4 linked regions of the Arabidopsis thaliana genome follow. The protein of the gene in region 4 interacts with the protein of the main gene of each other region in a pairwise test. Each region holds a gene or a part of one and is shown on either strand. Other genes may lie near its edges.

The links.
Region 1: the proteins of WAVH2 (region 4) and HB-3 interact in a two-hybrid assay, tested with the Arabidopsis thaliana proteins (one large-scale study listed by BioGRID).
Region 2: the proteins of WAVH2 (region 4) and MEE18 interact in a two-hybrid assay, tested with the Arabidopsis thaliana proteins (one large-scale study listed by BioGRID).
Region 3: the proteins of WAVH2 (region 4) and AT3G48550 interact in a two-hybrid assay, tested with the Arabidopsis thaliana proteins (one large-scale study listed by BioGRID).

Annotation. Positions count from the first base shown.
Region 1 is NC_003071.7:14,340,604-14,346,251, forward strand, and holds HB-3 (homeobox-3), read right to left. Parts: upstream 3,176-5,648; 5' UTR 2,995-3,175; coding exon 2,868-2,994; intron 2,783-2,867; coding exon 1,961-2,782; intron 1,652-1,960; coding exon 1,434-1,651; 3' UTR 1,042-1,433; coding exon of another isoform or gene 1,036-1,041; 3' UTR 819-1,035; downstream 1-818. UniProt on the Arabidopsis thaliana protein: Homeodomain transcription factor required for meristem growth and early development. Promotes cell proliferation and prevents premature differentiation in meristematic tissues during postembryonic development.
Region 2 is NC_003071.7:14,395,553-14,402,000, forward strand, and holds MEE18 (maternal effect embryo arrest 18), read right to left. Parts: upstream 3,724-6,448; coding exon 3,444-3,723; intron 3,220-3,443; coding exon 3,103-3,219; intron 2,994-3,102; coding exon 2,861-2,993; intron 2,749-2,860; coding exon of another isoform or gene 2,734-2,748; coding exon 2,637-2,733; intron 2,496-2,636; coding exon 2,452-2,495; intron 2,365-2,451; coding exon 2,208-2,364; intron 1,980-2,207; coding exon 1,908-1,979; intron 1,766-1,907; coding exon 1,682-1,765; intron 1,511-1,681; coding exon 1,409-1,510; intron 1,321-1,408; coding exon 1,273-1,320; intron 1,205-1,272; coding exon 1,079-1,204; coding exon of another isoform or gene 992-1,078; coding exon 731-991; downstream 1-730. Other genes in the region: AT2G34100 (nonsense-mediated mRNA decay-like protein), read right to left, coding at 4,153-4,461, 4,591-4,863, 5,011-5,123, 5,251-5,503, 6,014-6,103.
Region 3 is NC_003074.8:17,991,414-17,995,635, reverse strand, and holds AT3G48550 (SHOOT GRAVITROPISM-like protein), read right to left. Parts: upstream 1,818-4,222; 5' UTR 1,589-1,817; coding exon 1,242-1,588; intron 1,171-1,241; coding exon 1,041-1,170; 3' UTR 857-1,040; downstream 1-856. Other genes in the region: AT3G48540 (Cytidine/deoxycytidylate deaminase family protein), read left to right, coding at 3,621-3,811, 3,943-4,018.
Region 4 is NC_003076.8:26,259,263-26,265,314, reverse strand, and holds WAVH2 (Zinc finger (C3HC4-type RING finger) family protein), read right to left. Parts: upstream 4,180-6,052; 5' UTR 3,844-4,179; coding exon 3,442-3,843; intron 3,363-3,441; coding exon 1,611-3,362; 3' UTR 1,145-1,610; downstream 1-1,144. UniProt on the Arabidopsis thaliana protein: Probable E3 ubiquitin-protein ligase involved in the regulation of root growth. Acts as a positive regulator of root gravitropism.

The sequences.
Region 1 (5,648 bases), on a different chromosome or scaffold from region 4:
AGTTAAAACTTCAAAGCAAAGGATCTTATCAACTGACTGTCAAAAACTCTGTTTCCTAACTTTGATACGTTACTTATTTATTTTATAAAAAAAATTTGTTTTCTTTTGATGAAAAAATATTCAGATTATATATTAACTCTGAATTCAGATTATACAAAAATTCATAACGTGGCTATGAATATCAACTATTGTTAATTAGCATAATTTCAATATAAATGAATTGTTTTGTTTTTGGCATTACAAATTACTTAATTGATTCCATGCATTGTGTAGTTCAAAGCAATATTTACTAATTAATTTTATCTAAAATAACTGAAACTATTTTTTTCGTACTATCATCATTCGACGCATTTTTATATTAAAAGAACTAAATCATCTTTGAAATCGAATTTTCATACATTTTTAATTTTAAAGGGTAATATATTTGATAGAGTACATATTTATTTATTGATTTTTTATATAAAAATGAGTGAACCGTCTATAATTTATAATTAATAATTATATTAGTGTAATAATGCATTTCTGAAGAGGGGATGGATTAGGTGTAGTATAATAATTATATTAATGTAACGTTTTAATCCCCGGGATTAAAGTGAAATATCACCTCACACGTGAACTGTAGTCAAAGTTCCCTACTTCCCGCATGTAAACCTTACATCACAGTCTAAACACTAAACATAACGCATGACCTAATTCACTTTCACACTGGGTGATGTGATGCTTCTACATTACTCATCCCCATATTAGCGCATTGTTTAACAATTCCACATATATAATCAATTTTTCAAGAAGAAGAAACAGAACAACATTATAGATTTCTTTAGATAATAATGAAACACACATCATATATTATTGGTCAACAATTTAACGAGAGAGTTTTGTGAATGTTGTCCGAAACTCATACATAAACACCGTCACAACAGGTAACTGAAACCAATACTTTATAAAATCTTAACATTTAAGCCTACGTACGAGAGATGGTGAAAGAAAGAGACAGGTCTTAATTTCTTCTTCAAACTCAAATCTCCCACACGACTAGATCTGCAAAAGCAGAAAAGAGACCTCGAAATTAAATCACATAAACAATTATATACACACACATGCAGGCACATCCTCCGAAATATGGTAGTATTAGAATTTATACTACAAAAGTCAAAATACACGAAGGCCAAAAAAAGAAAAAAAACCCCAATGAATGCTCTAAAGAAGCGCAAGGTGTGTGTGTGTAATTAAATTAGATTGAGTCAACATTGTTGACCTAAGCCAAACAACATGTCTCTCGCATGCATTTATCCATTTTAGATCCCAATGAAGAAATAAACTAGTACTAATATAGATGTATAAACTATAATTATATAGACATTAAATAAGTATTCATTTTACCATAGTTTATTTAACCGATAGAGTAGTATCTAGCTATAGTGGAACCTTAATTAGTATAACAAAGGAAAATAGAGAGGAAACAAAACCAGATAGTACGAGGCTCCGTGTTGAAGAGGGTGAAGAGCGACGCCATATTCATCGGTGACAATGGGCTGACCCGCGGAATTAATCAGAACAACCTCTTCCCCAAATGCATCCCTCACATTGAACGGTCCTGAGCTCACTTCAAGCTCCATTTCATTGATGAAAACTCTTATTCGTGCGTCCGCTGCATCCATATTTAGCCATTGTTATCCCATTATTTCATGTTAGTATAATGACTATAACAATCTATATAAAACAAAATTGTAAAGCTCACACAATCTATTTTCAAGAAAGAGAGAGAGGGTATATAGAAATAAAGAATCATCTAAAGGCTACTAAACATGAAGGTTTTAAAAAAAGATTTGTATGGATCAATGTGTCCCTTACATTGTTGACACAAAATTAATGTATCTCTACGATTGAGTAAAATTTCAACATGTATATAAGTAATCTATAACTTAAAAAGGGTGATAACTTTATATATTAACATTACCTTGAACTTGAAGCTGGTCCGAAGTTGATGGGACAGTAGCGAGAGAATGCGAAGTAGTAATAGTGGTGGCAGTAGAAGTAGTGGGAGGAATATGAAGCATGATGTTATTGTTGTTGTTGTTGTTGTTGTAAGAAGCTATTTGATGATTAGTGGTAGCGTAACAAATCTGAGTCTGTGGCTGTTGCAACATCTTCATCCTCATTTCTTCAACTTCTTTCTCACTCAAGTGTTGTTGATGATGAGTTCCATAACTCACACTACCGTTCATGATCTCACTCAGCAGGAGTCCGGTACACGTTGGAGCCGGTTTTTGTTGCTCAATCATATCACCGGAGAGAAACCCTAATTGGGATGAGACGGTGATACCTTCAAACCCTCCGACAGTGGAGACCGGGAAGAGAAACGCCGGTTCCGGTGGAAACATCCCCATCATTTGACTACCACCCAAAGAGAGATTAGTGTTGTTCTTGTTCTTGCTTTTTCGGGGTTTGGTGGATTTGGAGGAGGAAGAGGAGGAGGAAGAGGAAGAGGAAGCCGAAGGTTGCGGCTGCGGCTGCGGTTGCGTTTGAGGGAGAGAGTGTTTGGAGTGGTTGTGGAGGAGGCGGAGTTTGTGTTTACTACGGGACTTACGGTTTTGGAACCAGTAGAAGACGTTAGCATCACCGACTTGGCCGTATTCTTGAAGCTGAGCCCTAATCCTCCTGATCTCCTCTCTTGGAGGATTCACCATCCCGGAGTTAAAGATTGCTTCAAGTATCCGAATCTGCTCTGGCTTTGGATTCCATCTTGGTTTTGGCTCTGGACTCCTCTCCACTTCACATCCTAAAAAATTCACAATCTCATCAGATAAGAGTTCTTTAAAACAAAATTTAGTTTTGAATTGGTAAATATGTAGAAGTAGAAGGACCTGAAGAGAAAGGAGAAGATCGGTGAGAAGCAGAAGGCAAGAGAGGAGAGTTGATGTCATGTTGCCATTGATGGGGATGAGGTTTGGACTTGAACATGCTTGGCCAGTGTCTATTCGAAGAAGCCATAACTAATTAACTCGATCCGCAGAACACAGATGTATGTGTATGCATATGATGATGATTGATGTTGAATGATGATGTGATGATGATGTGATGTGTCAAAAAGAGAGGAGGAAGAGACAGGGAACAGAATGGCTAAATGGAAAGATAAATAAAAATGTGAATAGGGCAAAAGGGTTACGACCTCTTTCTCTCCCTCTTATAGCCTCTCTTCACCTACCCAACCTGTTTTCATATATTCATTCATCTCTTTTACATAAATTTAATTTAAAGTCTCACCCATATTTCTATACACCATTTCTCTTTCTCTCTATATCTATGTATCTATCTATGATGTATAGATGTGTATCTATATCATTATGTGTATATGTTTAGTAAAGACAAAAAAAACTATCACTACTTCTCTTGTTTAGGGAATCAAATGAATTAGAGAAGTAGGCTAAATCCTATTAACAGAAATGTTATAAAAGAAAATAGGAACACTGTTTTCATTACGTTTTATTATTAACTACTTCAGTCAAACAGTATGATTTAGTTGCATACTTGCATTAAATAGTTTTGAACAAAAAAAATTGCATTAAAAAGTAAATTTATTAATTCTATAGAAGGTCTTTGATCGCTTATATATAGATTATGAGGAGCACTTTGACATTTTAGATTTGAATCCAGTTTTGCTTGTCATGGTTCAATTATGATAAAATAAAAACTGTTTTAGGGGTTAGTTCCCTTTAGTGTCATCTAGTGGGAAAATGTGTATATCACCAATGGAAATTCAAAAGGCATTATTACAGTATTAAAAAAAGAGTGACAAGGTTAGTATTTAAGTACGTCAAAATGTGCTAGTCGACGAGTAGCCTATATTGCTATAACGTTAAATCACTGATGGATTGACCAATACTTCAATAACAAATAGAAGAAGACAATTTTGGAAATCTTAAATTTCTTCAACAGTCATTTGATTAGTTGTGTATCATGAGCGTTTCTTTTAGCCTCGCAAACAAATAGAAGACCGCATGCATTCACACTGTCTAATAAACCACTTTGAGAGTCCGAAGGAGCTTCACTGAATTAGCCCCAAACCATATCAATCTCACTCACAAATGACCAAATTGATAGCATACCCTGTGGCGAATGCTTAATACCATTAAATAATTTTATCATTTGTGTTTTTCATATATGTACAAAAAAATCCAAAATCCATATGAAAATAACTGATAGAGAGACTAGTTATATGTGCCCAAAAAAAAAAAAAAAGAGAGAGACTAGTTATATAGATTTATAGAGTGGGTACTGAATTATTTAAAAATATTCAATATTTATTATAAGAAATTATTTTAGCAATTTTAAAAAGTTGCCATACAAAGTCATCTGTAATTTTACAAGGGTATTTGAAGCGCACTCCAAAAATTTCTGTTTACTTTAGGTTTATACTAATAGACTCTGAATTCATATTACTAAATTAAAAAATTTAATTAGTAGAGCAATACAGATTTTCTGTTACTACATCCATATTAGAGTTTGCATGGTATTTCATTCGTTTGTTTTGTTATTCACATTCCTAATATCAATTTCTGAGATAGAAAACAGTAAGAGACAGGAAGAAACTCAAAGTGATCATTAATGCAACCCCATGCCTCACTTCCTTACACTTCTTGCATTAAACTCCAAACTGCTTCTGCAGTTCAAACGTACGAACACAAATTTCTTCAGAAATTGAAACAACAGATTCTTTGAAAGTGATCCATGTTTGGTTCTGAACTAGGATTTTTTCTCCTTTTTATTATTTTCTCCTCTGACATCTCAAAAAAAAACATTAATTAAAACAAGACAGAAAGATTGTAAATTTTCTCACATTTTATGTTTATTTATTAACTATAACAAGATGGGTTTTTATTATTTGCTTGTATTACAAAAAAATAAAATCATGTAGTTTCTGGATTTTCAGTCTGTGCAGAAGAGGATTCTCTCGGTCACCTTCGGGGCATCGGCCTTAAATTCGGATGGGGAGCAAATGGTTTGTTTGGACGTAGGAATAGTCATAATCAAATTAGCAAACACGATTTTAGGAGTTTTGTGATGTAATAGTACGGAAAAAAGAAACATGTATTAATGGGGAAAATACGAAATTTTAAGAGGTCAGGATGGGTGGTGGTGTATAGTAATTGCAAAGAAATTAAGGTCATTTTTTTTTGGATTGACTCGAGGGTCTTTGTTGATGATCGTTCCCTTTAATAACGTATTAATAATTCTTCAGTTTCTTTTGAAATATTAAGATTCTTTTCATCTGCATTTATTTCAAATATAAACTAAATGGAGCCTTTTTTATCAGACAAAAAAAAAAAACTAAATGTGAGCTTTATTTAAAAGACTAACTATTGAATGGGACTATGGGACAATGCTAAACAGTCTTAGTTTATAAATCATAACTTTGTGATAGGATGCAAATAAATCAAAACAAAATGTGGCATCTCCATTTAACACAAGCGGTTATCAGTGTTAACTAGATCTGTAAGTAACATTGCAAAGTCTCGTTCCAAGGACTGGTCCAAGATTATTAAGGATTCCAAAGCAAAACAATTTATGGCCTTATTTTTAAGCAAAAAAATAAAGATATTTTAGTTATGTGGATATAGTAGTATTTTATTTGTTCTTAAAATTAA
Region 2 (6,448 bases), on a different chromosome or scaffold from region 4:
GAAACAAAGTGTCTAAAACAATACATATTATATGTCTGCCCAATCACTGAATGGAGGAGCAATGAAGCATGGGCTCAAATGGATGCGTCATTGTCATCATACAAGTTTAATATTTTGGTATATTTATGTCTCTCTACTTGACTTACAAGAGTCACGTACTGCTACTTGTGAGCATTATAAAATTATGATCACTGTGTCAAAAACTTGTAAAGAAATCTTCGGTTAAATTCATCTTTCAACAATTAACATTGGTTATTGAACAAGTGATTCTTTTCTAAACTTAACTGAAAGGGCCAACAAAGTTGTATGGGCTTAGGGCCCTACCAATCTCAGGGCACGCTCTGTTTGTTGCTGGCATCATTTGCTTTGCTTTAATACATCTTTTTAGTAAAAGCACACATGTTAATACACAGTGAGAAACAAAGATGCCTTTGCTTGTTTGGGAATGAAAAGCACACATAGTTATGTAGAAATGTCATCATTTGGTTTCATTGGAAAGTGAACTGTATTCATCTGTACAGTAGTTATATGTAAAACGTGTAAGAAAAAACATATGATACAACTCCGAGAGAAAGAGAGGCGTTTGTCTTTCCTTAGCTAAGAATATGATCATTGACCATTCATAACCTTTCATATCAATTCACTAAAGGATCAAACTAAACAGTAACAAAAAAATCATGGTCCCAATTGCGTAGAAGAAGAAACTAGCTCTGGCCTAAAGAATCACTATTTACTCCACCAAACCGGCCAGTGTGTTTATCAGTGAGCTCGGGTTGAACAAGATACCGTGCTTCGGGTCACCAACACTCTCCACGACTCTCTGCAATAGAGTGGAGGTAACAGTGAGTGTTTGTTGTGCACATAAACTTGGAAACAAGTGAAGGAAAGAGATACTGACAACATCATATATCCCTTGTTCAGACAATTGTTTGAGATCTACTGCTATTTCTCCATCTTTCGGGACCAAGAGAGTGTTGATGTAATATCCAGGCTGCACACAAAAATGATGTTCTTGGATATCGATATATGTCTGATAAAGAAGACATCGAAAGAGTGTGGATTGTGAAGAACCACTCACGGGATTCTTGAGCCGAATATTAGTATCTCCATGAGTTCTGTTGAGAGCGTCAGCGATAGCAGTCACAAAGCAGGAAGCGGTGAACCTGCTTGTTTCTCGGTCTTGGCTACCGTTCAAAAGAAGTACCTGTGACAGAGAGAAGAAATCAGATTGATTTTTACCATCATTAGTATTTTTGACAAGCTTCAGCATACCTTACGACATGACCTGGAAGAGATAATCTCCCCAACACCAAGCAAAACCTGATGAACAGAAAGACTTGTCTATAACAGTTATCACAAATTTAGTAATCCACCATTTTTGCACAACATATTTATTGCGGGTGCTAACCAGTGATGGGCAAATGGAAGTGAACAGGGATCCCATTGCGTAAACGATACAGTCCACGCTTCTCAACTGCTCTAGGACAGTTGGGTTAACTGGTGGGAAGACCTGTTTAATGGACATAACACCAAACATTTGCAATGTCAAATACACCGTGCAAAACAAAGAAATGAAGTAGAGAACTAAAACGATAGAGTTTCTTAAAGGGAATCAGAATCATTAGAGATAACATTGAAGATATCTAGGACATTCTGTATATATAAAAGCAGAGTAGTTAACCTCATGAAGCAGATTATTGCCTTCACTTGACATGTAAAACACTCTCTTTATCTTCGATGGGAGAGCGGAAGTAGAACAATGTCTCTACTAGAAACATAGAAAGACAATGTAAGAAAATAAATTCTACATATGGCAAAATTGACATTTTTAATTGATACAAGTATATAGTAAACTTAGTTCTCGTGATCATCAAAAAACACCAATGTAAGATATTCAAATAGAACACCTTGTCAACTGTCTGCGTAGTCCCAGTGGTCGGGTGAGAAATTTCGTTCTGTCCGCGTATTATAGTCCCATCCTACAAATTAAAGTCATAACTTGTTAGTTTGCGAACAAATTTGCCACCTCAATCTTGCCATTAATTGTTTAAACCAAGAAGATGGCCAGTGAAGCGACAGCCAAGATTTATGTATAGAAAGCGATACTTCTTCCCGCAAATAATGATGCTTTAGCTGCGATATTTGTGGACAAGAATGGGATTCCATAAGCTAGCTGCGGGAATTCAAATAGAGATCAAGCTTCATACCTGTAATTCACATCCTAGTGTTAGCCTATCATTGGTTGATATCACTGGGAGGACCAAACTGTCACAAGGAATCTCTGAAACACGTGAAAACAGAAAAATTGCAGCATCTAAAGACTGGAAAAATATCCTTGCTCCTGCAAAGAAGAAGTTCCCAATGCTACAAGAAGGAAACAATCATAAGTGAGTTACTAAACAGGCGAACAAAATAATACACAGTTGAAGCCGAGAAAAAGATCTTCAATACCTTCCATTACTGAAGCAAAATCTCTCATTAGGTCGCCTATGAATCTGTATCATAAGAAACATGTCAAGTAAGAAATGACAGAATATTAAGGTAAAGAAAAATTTAAACAATCAAGAAGTTGGAACTTGGAACTGATCAAATATGAAACCAATAAAAACATGTTTCTCTGTATCAGTTAACATTACCTCATTCTGAAAGTATATCAAGAAAGCGCGAATTGTTTCACTGTAGGGTCTTGATACACCATCCCACAGAGAATGATTACCTTCTACAATATCGTACCTGTCAAAGTTCCAACTCAGCCAATGGTATATTACACAATATTGTCCACCACAGAACCTTAAATGTGTAGCTTATAGAGTAGACCACACTATGTGCATAAAGAAAACATAGTCATTGGATAAATTACCAATCTTTCTTGGCCTGATGTGCATCAATAGGTAAGCGATGGCCAAGCAACCGCCTAACAGCAAGTGCCTCTGAAGTACTCTCATCAGACAGCCTTAAACACCTCGAACGTATATCACCAACCGCTGGCCCTCCTATAGCAACGGAGATATTGAGCTTAGATTACTTCTGGTAAAAACTTAAAGAAGCTAAAACATATATAATCTGGGTCTTGTAGCAATGTTAGTGAGTTCTAAAACTTACCGAGAACACGAACAATCTCAGCAGTACTTCCACCATCATCAGAGACAGGAAGAACATGAGCGACTCGTGTTGTTAACTTCTTCAACTCTTCAACCACACCATTAAATCCAGTACCACCTTCATAGCAACAAATATAACGTTTTCCAAAATTCAGAGCAAAAGAAAACTACCTAAACCAATGTAAGACAATGATAAAGCTTTGCACTTTGCAACAAACAGAATTAACAAATGTCAAATTCTAAGTAATTGGTCAAGATCTAACACAAATAGACGATCTTATCGACATAAAAATCGTAACTTTAGGGAGACCCACGAAACAAGGAAGAGGAAGAAAGTGGAACCTGAGAAGACGAGGAGAGAAGGAGGCTCCACGGTGGAGGAGGAGAGACATTCAGCCATGAGAGAAGTGGAATTGTAGTAATGTGGCTTCTTGCTGCGGAAGAGAGAATGAAGAGACAAAGGAAGAGATGGTGATTTATAATGGACTAGACCCCCAAAATAGCAAATCTCCGCCATTACCGAACTGAAACAGAGAATGATGAAACATCTCACCACTACCCTTTTCGTTTTTGTCGATTTTCCAAGCCTTTGGATTTTTCTTTTTTCGCAATGAGAGTGCATAATAAAGCCATAAAAGATATTTATTACGCGTTAGAAAAGAAAATAATCACGGTACTGGTGGTTTTGTTGGTTTTCTACTTGGTTTGGTCCAATAAACCAAAACTAGTGTTAAATCGATTTTGGTGGGATTGTGGTTTTGCATTAGTGTTTGAGCTCAAAATACATGTATAGACCAAATGTCGATGATTCCACTGGAAAGGTACCTTAAGATAATCTAAAAGATCACATGATCGAATGGCAAAGAAGACAAACAATAATGATAAGAAAAAGTACACTATTTGGTATTAAACCCCAAGTTAATAGAGTGACATAAGCCTTGTGAAAAACGAATGAAACACTCAAAAAACTACACAAATAAATATCATTAAAGCCGATGTAAAGTATAAACTCGATCAAATCACACACATTTTTTGCCAAAAGATCAGAGCCCTAAGCACTCTTCACATAAACCCAATCACCATCTGGTAAAAGGGTCTCGACCTCACCAAATTCCGTATTCTTCGCAATTGTCTCTCGCCTCACATTCACAAATCCTTGTGATACGTCATCTTCATCGTCATGAAGCACTTTCCTTAGCTCGCTCATTCTCTGCTCGCGCGACATCTCCATCGCTTCTTCAGAGTGATATTCCCCAGCTTCATCATCCTCCTCATCGCATGATTCTTCATCTTCTTCGTCGGAAGACGTGTCAACATTATATAACTGCTGATAACCACCTTTCCACGTCAAACTTGAACCCTAATCACAAATACAATAACCAAATCAGCAACTGATTAAAATAACAACATTTCATAGATGATCATTTTCCTAGTTTTTGTATGAGCATAGGTATAAAAATGTGAAAAAAACTGCTACACAAAAACTTACACTATCTTTTTCATTACGATGATCGTAGGAACTAGGGGTATAATTCGTCGCTGATCCCAAATCAAGCTCCGACATGTTTTCGGAATATTTAAAAACTGTAGTATCCGCTTCTTCATCTTCATCATCAAAATCCTCATTCCATGAATCATCACTATCTTCGGAGAAAATGTCAACATCTTCTTCATCGTCATTATCCTCTTCTTCTTCTTCATCGAAAGACAAGTAGCCACTCTTTAACAGCTGATAGTCACAGTTCCACTTCAAACTCGATTCCTATATCAGAAAGATTCAGTCAGAGACAATAAACAAAGTAGCAACTAATTAAATTTACCAAAATTCCGTTATACAAAATCCATGGTGATTTACTTATTCTAGTTAATGAGCTTTGATATGAAAATGGGAAAAGTGCTTCAAACTTACACTATTCTCTTCATCATAATCATCATCATCAATACCATCAGCACCATCACCATAATTTTCATAACAATCATCACCACCTTGTGCTTGAGTGAAACTCTCTGGGAATTTTGAAGCTGCCAAGAAAATCAATATGATACTTGTCAGTCAAGAAACCAAAAAAGTGCTGATGTTCTAGCTACTTTAATTTAATGGTATTTACAATAACTATAATGTAATATATACTATATATAAAACACATACCACGCATAGCCCAGTGTTGGCTCGGTTTTTCTTTGACCTCAGCAATGCACATAGACCAGTGTTGAAGCGGTTTTTCTTTTACGTCAGAAAGGCACATATACCAGTGTTGAATCGGTCTTTCTTTGACCTCAGAGACAGGATATTGAGAGGAATGTTCATCACCAGATCCACCATTATCTGGCTGTCCGGTCAAGTCTTGGTTAGGCTGGTCGTCAAATATGTCTTTGGTTAACTCTGTCCAGAGTTCAATACTCTGAAAATATAGAAAAGAAAAACCAAATCAAAGAAAAGTTGTCATGTAAACGGTAAGTTTTGACAATCGAAGCCTGTTTTATGGAAAGATCTAACTATCATGAATAGTTCTGGTTTTCAAAAGGATTAGACCGTGATCAATTAGGTTTCCATAAATCTAATAAAATATCTGATGGAACTGAAGCTGTCTTTCTATGATCTCTTGGTCTTTCTATTTTCAGATCTTATGCAAAACTTTTTTTTATACTCTTCATCGTTTAAGAAAAAAAAAAATCTAAAAGAACCTTGGAAACCTTAATTCTGTTTTAACTACTAAATACACTAATAACTAAAATACATTATCTACATCAATTCGTAGCATATACTTTGCGTTGATGATGATGATGATGATGATGATAAAAGAACATAGGTTTAGTCTTTTAGCCACACAACATAGACAGAACCATAAACTCTTGAATTTTAGGGCATAAACATCAAATAAAGATCAAACCAGAAGAACAAGAGTACTTACCTTCTGTATCGATTCGTCAACCTTGGTAAATACCAATCCGACTTCGTCCATAAACTTATCAAACCACTGGTTACCTTCTACGCCTCCCATAATCTTTAATTTAACCTGACCTGGTACCGTATGAAAACAGGGAAGGGTTTCAAAACCAAAATTCAGTTATCTAACTCTTAATTTTAGTCAATAAAAGGAATCTCCTTAATATTGTTTAAGCGGCCTAAAAAGAGTCGCGGAAACCCTAATTAGAACGATCGAGAACGACGATTGAATGTCTCGAAAATTGCACAATCGCTAAAAGAAAACTTACGAATGAAAACGAAACCACGTGCGAGAGGAAGTTTTAGTTAAGAAGATTTGCTTCGGAGGAATTGGAGAGATAGAGGAACAATGAGCGCAGGAAAAAACGAGTTGGGTTTTAACGAGGTTTTATAACTTTTT
Region 3 (4,222 bases), on a different chromosome or scaffold from region 4:
TCATAATCGTTAATATAGTTCATATGTATGTATCATTTTATAGAGAATATGACGACCAACCGAATAGATCAGCCGAGTTGATTTACGTATTTAGGGTATGATCGTAAACTCGGCATTTTTTAGGATTTAAATTTGAACATATTATCTGTAGTACACGATTGATTTAAACCATAGTCTACGAAGTACATAATTAAAATTAATCCTCTCTCTTATCAAAAATATTCATACATTTATCAAGTTTCTGTAAGTAAATGTACGTATATGCACAAACACAAAATAATAGTACACACATATATACTATTTAAAGCGACCTAAGAGATTAAAGTAGATGAAATAAGCATGTTAATGCAATAATTATACCCATCATCTCCATGCATATGTCTTTACGTGTGTTTGATTATTTGTTTTCAGAATAATCATCAATTTTCATTGAACGAACGTTTTCAAAGATGATTACAACAAATCAAATGAATCACATATGGGTCAGCCAATTATATTCAAATCATGCAATCCGTCCATTCTCTTTTTTATTTTCCACGTTCCTCGATTGTGAATGTCACTCCATCTCTTGTTACTTTAACATCAAGCATTTAACTAACTAATCACTGTAATTACTAATTAGGTTTTGTTCTGTTGGTTAATAAATGTCATAGTTAGATTTTAATACTCCATATAGTATATAATAGCTGATCGTTGAGGAATTGACATAGCTAATGTTGACAACGTAACTAATGAATTTTATCCCTAATTCCCAAGTAATTCACTAAATGGTATTCATGATTTTTTTTTTTTTTTTTTTTGGTTGGCAAAGAAGAGGAAGTAAAGTAGCTGGAAACATAAATCATCTCTTATCTGAGCATATTGTTTTCCTTCGATTTCAAGAAAATAAAAAGGAAGGACTATATAATATTACCAAACTCGAAAATGAAAACAAATTAAATTTAACTACAAAATAAAATTTAAATTAAACCAACATTCTCTTTCTCTTCAAATATCCATTTATAATAACAATAATTAAGAGAAACAAATAAATACTTATGTTATGGCCTAAACCTTTGTCTGCAAGAGTGGCAAGTGATCTCCAAGCAAGCCGTATCGATCTTCGTCATTGATCTCTCCTTCAATCTCTCAGCTCTCTCCACTTCTTCCCTTGCCTTCTGCCACATCACCCTGGTTACAATTCAAAACCGTTAACCAAACCAAAACCAGAATTATTACTTGATCGAGCTAGCTTTAACTACCTTGCACGAGCAAACTCAGACTGAGCCATCTCCATCTCACGGCGAGTCAACTCTCTAACCCTCTCGGCGTAAGCCTTCTCTATAGCCGCAAGCCTTATCTGCTCCGCGGCTTGCCACTTCAACGCCTCCACACCACCGTTTGGAAGCTCCTCCGCTGTTGAGATCGAGCTGAGGCTGATGGAGAGTTTGAGGTCAAGATCGTGGTGGATCATGGAGGAGGAACGGTGGTGATTGTTGTGATGGTCGGTTGTTATAACTGTTGGTCGGTGTTTCCTTACCGGAGATTCGGTAGACGGTGGAGAAGGTAAAAGCTGAAGCTCTTTGTGATGATCTTGTTGTTCAGCCATTTTTGTATTCTTGTTTGTTTTTTTTGGCTAAAAGGCTGCACTTCTCAATAAGTGTGGGGATGGCAATTACCAATCACTTTATATGTAAGCTGCTTCGTGTCTGTGCACATATACTATCTACTTGAAATTACACTTATAACCCCTTATTCGAATATGCATATCTTTTTGGGTTATTTGATCATTGGGTTTTTATATAATCCTCAAAGTTAACAAACGACCACCGTACCGCCATTATGTGAATTTGTTGTCAAGTGTGGTTCCATGATAAGACGAAATGATGTGATTGTACAACAATCAACTAAAGTTAAAAATAGGTTAGATATATAAGATTTTTTAAGTTTTGTCGAGTTACAAAATAAATAGTCACCAATAACCAAATTTTTAGAATGTTTTATAATGATGAACATGTTATTTGCGTTTATGTCGAAATAATATAAACATGTAAACGCAAACGTGATTAATGTTGTTTTTTACGTTAAAGCTACTATATATTATGACATAACTTGCAATTGCAAAATTTCATTGTTTTTTTTTTTTCCAAAACATAAGAGGAGCATACTTGTAAAGTGAAAATAATGGAGGGTAGGTTAGTAAAACGAAGATAGAAATAGGAAGAAAAAAAATAGTTAAGGTGTAGAGAAAATCTCCGTTGAAGAAAAGACAGAGAAGATGGGATATAAACGGATCACGTTATTGAAGCATGAGAGGCTTTTTAAAGAAACCCTTTTCACTTTTTCATCATCTATCTCATTTTATATGTTTTTGTAACTAATAACTTTGCGATTGTATATTTGTTAATTAACGTATCCTTTTAAAAAAATGAAAATGTGGATGTGGGTTGTGTAATAATTGGTGATGCACGTGGCTTAATGGATTCAAAAGCTAGCAACTAGCTCACTTACTATGTGCTTAGTCCGTATATATTAGTAATTTAATCAAATTCTTCTCATATAACAGTTTATATTTTATTTATATATGTGATTTAAATAGTTGAAAGATTATAACAGATTTATAGGATTGAGAATTCGGAAACTAGGGTTTGAGTCTTTCCGCTGCAATCTCAATTACATTAATTAGTATAGACGCTCTAAATGACAAAAAAAAACAAAATTCCACAGGTTTAATAGCTAATCTGAATTGTGTTGTGATCTACGATTGCCTGGTCGTTATGTTTTAAATACATTTTGTTATTTATAGATAAAAATGTACGTAATGCTTTCAATGTTTTTTTTTTAAAGTTATTAACTTGTTTCATGTGTTTCATAGTTTCATGTACGTTTCCAATTATTTGTTATTTTTCAAACTTTGTTCGTTTCCACTTTATGTTTTCTTAATCTATCCAGTTCATATTACATTACATTAGACAAAAGAAAACTAAATAGCGAAATAAAACTAAAACTTATATAGGTATACACAACCGTGCCTACCAATAAAAAAGTCAGAGACGGTATCTTAAAAGCGCAAAATAAGAATATAGAACTATAGTTATAAAAAAAAATTTTGAAAGGTAATGTCAATTTTTTCACAAGATCATTAACCAAAATTTCAAAATCAATCTTTTATAACCTTTTTGTGAATTGAAAAGATTGTCAAAACATCAACGATACAAAAAAGTTTAAATCCATAGTTAATAGAAATATAGAAGAGATGGTTGAGATATCAAATCTGGACCGGTATAGTTTTTTTTATCCAAAAAATATATTGGTAGCACTCAATACTAAAAAAAATAAAAAAAAATAACAAATAATAAAATAAATGATTCAATAACACATAATTTTTGAAAAAAATGAAATTAACCAAAATCTGTTAATTGCCATAATTTTCTGCTGAGAAGAGAAAGCACAATCAGTAAACCAATCTAGTTATTAACCGAAACCTAAACCAACAATCATATGAACCGAATGATAGACCTGCCTTAACCGGAATGGCGGGGATTTTCACTCTCTTATAGTTTCCCGCTACATTTAATAGTGAAGAGAGAAGAGCAAAGATTTTTCTGGATAAATCTGTTTTATCGATTTTGAAGCTCCCCATGAACTCTCGAGATCTTACACTCGTCTCTACATCTGCAATCTTCGGTGCTTTGATTTCAGCTCTAGCATTTCGCTTCTTCTCATCAAACCCTAAAAACCCCAAATCCCGAAAATTCACTTCCACCGAAATCTCTGCAATTTCCAGAAAATTCCCTGCTCTAGATCCTTTCAGTCCTTTGAAACGAAATGGGTTTGTCATAATTCCATTCAATATATCTAATTTCGTTATTCCATAGCTAAAGTTTCCAACTTTCAGAAAATCCCAAGTTTAGAATCTGCTTTGATTTTTAATGGTAGAATTTTGTTTGAATTGTTGTGAAGGTACTTATCATGGGATGATTATTTCATGGCGATTGCATTCCTTTCTGCAGAACGATCCAAGGATCCTAACAGGCAGGTAAATTTTGTTGTTTGTGATATTTGAACAACATGAGTATCCAAACAGTTATATATGTGTAAGCTGCTCAAAATGTATTATGTTCATGATACTATATAGTTTTCTATCATCAAAGTGGAGGTATTCTTTCGGTGTTAAGATATCGCACTGGCTGATTTTGTAATGAATGGATGCATTGGTGTTTTGATGTCTAGCACATTTAGA
Region 4 (6,052 bases):
AACAAATTTACAAAGCCAAGTGTCAGTATACTGATCTGGACCGTTGATTTTCAATGTTGACAGCTTTCGGACACATCACAACCACGTCATATGGGCTAATCTCTCTCTCTGCCGCAGTACCAGGACTTTTTAATTAACACGTTCACCTTTTCGGAGTTGACCAAACATTTTCGAAATTATTAAATCTCTCCTTAAATAACCCATTACATTATGTAAAAGATAACTTTGGTGATTAATAGATTCATAGATTTGTTTTAGAGTTACATTATTTGGGCCTAAGCCTATTTTACATGGACCTATGTTTGTAGAGTAAAGGTTGTTTTCGGTATCTTATTTTCGTCCCAGGCGCCAAAGGTAAATGCTTTATTAATTGGTTTACATTATTTTTGGAATTCTCAATGGGCTTTACAGTTGCCGATTGCACAAACTGTAGCCCAACTGTGACAAAATCTCCCAAAAGTTGGATCAGCCATTATAACTCCAAATAGTGTGTTATACCGGGTTATTCTGATTTTCACAGAGTTCATTAGTACAAGTAATTGTAACATCAATGAATGTAATGCACCTTGATTAGTATTTTTTTAAGTATGGTGCGTCAAACCGTTTGACCATATATAGTTCGAGATTCTTTCCCTTTCATTAGTTGACATTAACATTGTCCATATGCAATATGTAACTGCGTGATGAATGATAGCTTAGTTTTTTTTTTTGTGAAAAAATAATAGCTTAGTTTTTTTAGTTATGATTTGACCATATATATAGTTCGAGATTCTTCTGCCACTGATCATTTTAGTGAATCACATCGAGAAGTGGACCTTTGACAATAGTTAATCATTTCATCCATTTTAAAAGTATACAAAATCATTGCATTCAAAACAAATTGCAACTTGGCGCTAGCTACATATAATTAGTAAATGTCTTAATGATATAAAATGAATGAATTTAAGCGAGAAGAAAGCTTTGCAACGGCGCATGACCTGGTTTCTACCACGGTGCACCCACCAAACCATTCACCAACAACCAACAAAGACAATCCCCACGCACTATTCAAATCATTCAAACCCGGTGCCTTCTATAACAAAATAGGCTATAATGATGATCACATGACTAATCATGATCATTCATTTGGAAAGATATAATATATTATAGATCCTCTTAAGTTAAACGGCATATGATAATATAAACTTAACTTTTGATTTTGAAGTCCAGCATTACAAGCACACTCTCTAATCCACTATACCTCAACTTTTAATTCTATATAGTACACAAAAAAAGCAGACTTCATTTATTTGATCTACAACTTTTTTTAACTATTCAGTCATTAATTTGGAGTTTTTGAAGATTACAAAAAGGAAGAAGAAGATAAAAATGCTAAAAGACCAATTAATTCCTTCTAATGTAGGGTCTCAATCTCTCTGCAATACAAAAGGCCACACCCGTCGGCTACTGCTTGTCGCTATCATGCACCTATGTGGGTCTTTTTCTGAATAATCATACTTCTATTATTTATACCTTACTAAATTATTGCTTATCCTCCTTATATAAATTATGTACCATTATATATTCAAAAATCATTGAAATCGAATTTTCGAAAAAAAGGGAAATTAAAATTAAAATCTGGCGTTTTCCAAGCCGTGCATATCGCTGACTCGATTTAAATGCTTCCTCATAATAGCCACTTTAGCTAATTTCTCGGCGGCTCTCCAAGCCGAAGTAGGGGTAAGCTGCTCCGGTTTATCTTCAGTTCGGTTTAATATACTATTTCTCGGTTTAATCCGGCTAAGTTCATTTAGCTCAACCTCCAAACTCCTTAAACTATCATCCGAATGAGACGCATTGGACCGAGCCGTCGTTAGAACCTGATACGCTCCGGATAAATCCTCACGCTCGATAAGCCGGCGTGAATCCGCTACAGCGCGGCACATGGAGTGTAAATTTCTCAGCCGTTCGATGCTTGAAGATACATATCTGACGGATTGTGGCCGTGGGATCAAAAATCGTTTTTCTTTAGGACATGTCATTGGCTGATGTGTCATTTGGTCAACGATCGACGACTGTACGGACATTACTTGGTGGGAACCACTCGACGAAGTCGGCACTTTGAGCTCAACGAGAAACTCTCTCTCCTCCTCCGCAAACAAATCTCCGACTTGGATGACAGAACCGGATCCGAAATTCTCGAGTCGACCGGTTAAAGAGTAAACCGATGAAATCTCAGTCAAATGAGATCCGTTGACCAAACTGAGATTTAGCTTCACGTTATGGAGAGTCACGTTGAGCAACGAAGCGATTCTTTCGGTGAACGCGTCTCGTAGCGGCGCGTGAAGCAACGCTCCAGGAGAAGCAATGTAAACGGAATGAACCGGGATCTCCGGACGAGAGAAACGCGTGGTAGACACGACGAACGGAATGCGCGTTGCGTTTAGTTTAGCTTTCAAAACTGCCTCCGGTTGATCTTGACCGTCCGATAAAACAAAGATGCTCGTTGACGGATTCTTCTCCCGCCGATCTTCAACGACTTTAACCGCTTTCTTCAACGCGTCGTTAACGCTCATTCCAACTCCGCCGGTGGTTTCCATTCCGCCGAGTGCGTCGACCATTCGCCGCGCCGATCGTCTTCCTTTCGCCGTCATTCGTCGTAACGGCATTAACCGTTTTGACCCCGTCGAGAAAACGACGATCGATAAACGATCCATTTCTCGGAGAAGAGAGATCACCGATCTCATCGCGTGTTTAACCGTTTGCAAATTAGCACCGCCGTTGCTTAAATCGAGAACCGTTACCAGATCTATCGATGGTCTTCGCGCCTTAATCGCATCGGTGATGGACGACGGCGACGGAGACGCTTTTAGTTTCATGATGACGACGTGTGTCTCCTTCTTTTTCCCGGTTTCCACAACGGCAGATTCCGGCAGCAACTTAACCTCCAGATTTCCTGAGATTGAAGGAACCATATCAGACGTAATCGAAGAATCTCGGAAGAATCCGGGGAAGTCATCGTCATCTTCAACGTCGTCGTTTTCGTCTGATTCATGTATAGTGTTGATCTGAGCAAGAGAAACCGGCGAATAAGCTAACGGCTCATCGTCGTTGTACACTCTCAGTGACTTCCCCGTTTTGATCTCTCGGATCTCGGGTCGTCTAATCGGGTCGGATCCGAAGTTATTATTAACAGCCGGATAATTCGACTTTGGCGCGTGATTCCATGCGGCAGAGCAAAACGGACAACGCTTGTCTTCTAATCCATTGACGCAAGAAAGGTGAAACGAATGTGAACACTCCGCCGTGAAAATTGCCGCCGTCGAGTTGCTTTGATTTGAATTCACTCTCTGCAAACAAATCGCACATCTACTACTATTACTCTGCATCCACACACACACAAAACGGAGCTTTAGATTATGTCTTTCAAATTAAGAACTTGATTGAATCAAAAGTAACTACCTTGTTGAGAAGAAGCGTGGCACGGAGGAGAGAGACGCCGCCGCCGCCTTGAGAGGAAGAAGAAGATGATGATTTAGGAGAAGAAGGGTTAGAGAAAAACTTGGGACTTGAGCTGTTACTAGTCCTTGGAGTAGCATTGCTCGTAGTCCTGCAATGGAGTTTGGGACTAGTTGGAAGAGATGGGATAGTGACTGATGTGGAAGCTGAGGAGCGGCATCCAGTGCCGCTTCCGCCGCGTGATCGGAGACGAGGAGTTGAAGGGTTGGATAAAAAACCAAACTTTGATCGGAATCTTGGTGTGGGAATTGGAGGATCAGTAGTGTGTAATGATGAATGTTGTTGAGGTTTATCTTGATTACTTGAAACGGAAGTGCAAAACGCTTTTCTCCAACCAAACACCATTTCCTGTGAGAAAGAAATAAGAAGAGAAGCTCTCTTTTTTTCTATATTATTCTTCTTCTTCTTCTTCTTCTATTTGTGGAAGTAATTATAGAGAAGAAGAAGAAGGACTTTGGGCATAATGGATCATAAGGAAGATGGAGAAATTAAATACTAAGATAAAGACTATAGAGAGATTTCTTTTTCTTTAGTGATGTTTCGATAAAGACATTTTTTTTTATGTTATTTTAAGTTGTAGGAATATTATAAGGTAAAAATTGTGACTTTTATGCGTGTGAATTGGCTTTTGTTTCCATTTGCATGTAATTGTTTTGCCTCGAAGAAAATAATCACTGATCCGTTAAGTCCTTCTTTTTTTTGGGTCAATTTTGCTATTTTTTTTACATATTTCAAGTGTTGTTTCATTGGGATGGACGATAAAGTTAAAAGTCAACGGTAATAACCGACCATATGCAAAATGAGATTTCAAATAACTTGAGACGCGGAGATCTTTGTTTTCCATTTGCATGTAAAATCTTTCTTTTCAAAATATTAAACAGTTTATTAGATTGTCTAATGTGGATTCCTCTTGAATGTTCCACAATGTGGTTCGATTATATAAATCATTTCCAATCTTATCGGATTCTTCGAAATGCAGATTGTGATGGAGTGTAAGGTCAAACATGTGGGCACGTGACGTTACAGTCTGAGCAATAAACGGTAAGCTTATTTTCCTTACGAAATATAAATGATACTAAAACACGTTGTATTCGAGTTATCTTCATGATTGTGAATTGAGTTGTATATTTAATTGATAGTTGCTTACGTAATTACATACTGGCTGGAGCGAGGAATTTAACCTAAAGTTTTGGGTTTGGAATTTTGTAAAAGGTCTTTGATGGAGAAAGGTCGAAAAGTTTTTTTTTTTCATTTATTTACCAACAAAATGATTTATAATATATGGTGACGACAAGAGCTAATGATATGACATAAAGATTAGACTGGTCCAGGTCCAGCAAATTTTGAATTCTTCTTGCTATTGCAAAAAAATTGATGGTTTTGGTCTGATTTTGATTTCGACACTTCTATTATTTTGATTTGACAACCTTTTAGATTGGCTGATCAAGTGCTCGAGATAATTAGTGTCCTAAATCAAAGGTATTAACTCCAAAATACAAATTACTGCAATTTGTGGCCTCTAGTATCTTGCAGTTATGCTGAAGAGCCACATGAATGAATGAAACAATAAATGGGTGGGTACATATATGATAAGGGGGCTGCTAAACAAAATTGTAGTTAAGCATTTGTAAATGGTTTGGTAGGTTTTTTAAGTGGCTGCCATTGTAGAGACAACACATGACTTCGTGCGTGCATGCCATGGAATCATTGATTATCAACCAAAAAATGAAAATATTAGTTAGTTAATCTTGTTAAGAATGTAATGACTTATATTATACGAATAGCTTTACACAAGTATATATACAAGTACAGAGGAGGTTACACTAGGGTTGTACAAATATAGAATGTTCCATAAAGGAGACAGAGGAATATTATGATATTAAAGAGAGATGATCCTATGTATCCTTAACACGCCCCCTCAAGATGGAGGGGCTATGCACACTCCAATCTTGTCTCGAAGTTCCGTGAAGTGATTTCGAGGAAGCGGTTTTGTTAATGCATCAGCGAGTTGGTCTCTAGTGTTGACGTGAGCCACACGAAGAATGCCTTGCTGAACTTGTCCACGAATAAAGTGATAGTCTATGGCTATGTGCTTCATCCTGGAATGGAAAACCGGGTTTGCGCAAAGGAAAGTAGCACCCACATTATCACAATAGACCACAGGCGGTTTGGGAAGTGTGATCCCAAGCTCCGTGAGAAGGCTGCATATCCACTGGATTTCACAAGCAGTATTTGCCACCGATCGATATTCAGCTTCTGTTGAAGACCTTGCAACGCTCTTTTGTTTCTTGGCAGTCCATGAGATTGGATTTTTCCCGAGGTAAACGATGTAAGCATTTGTTGAAACGCAATCTTCTGAGTCTCCGGCCCAATCTGCATCTGAAAAGGCATGAAGGGAGAGCTCGTTTTGAGCAGCAAAGAAAATGTCGTGAGTCGTAGTTCCAGCCAAATATCTAAGAACTCGTTTTGCAGCTTGCCAATGATCATTGGTTGGTCTGTGCATAAACTGAGAGAGGCGGTTTACAGCATATGCAATATCAAGTCTTGTGAATGC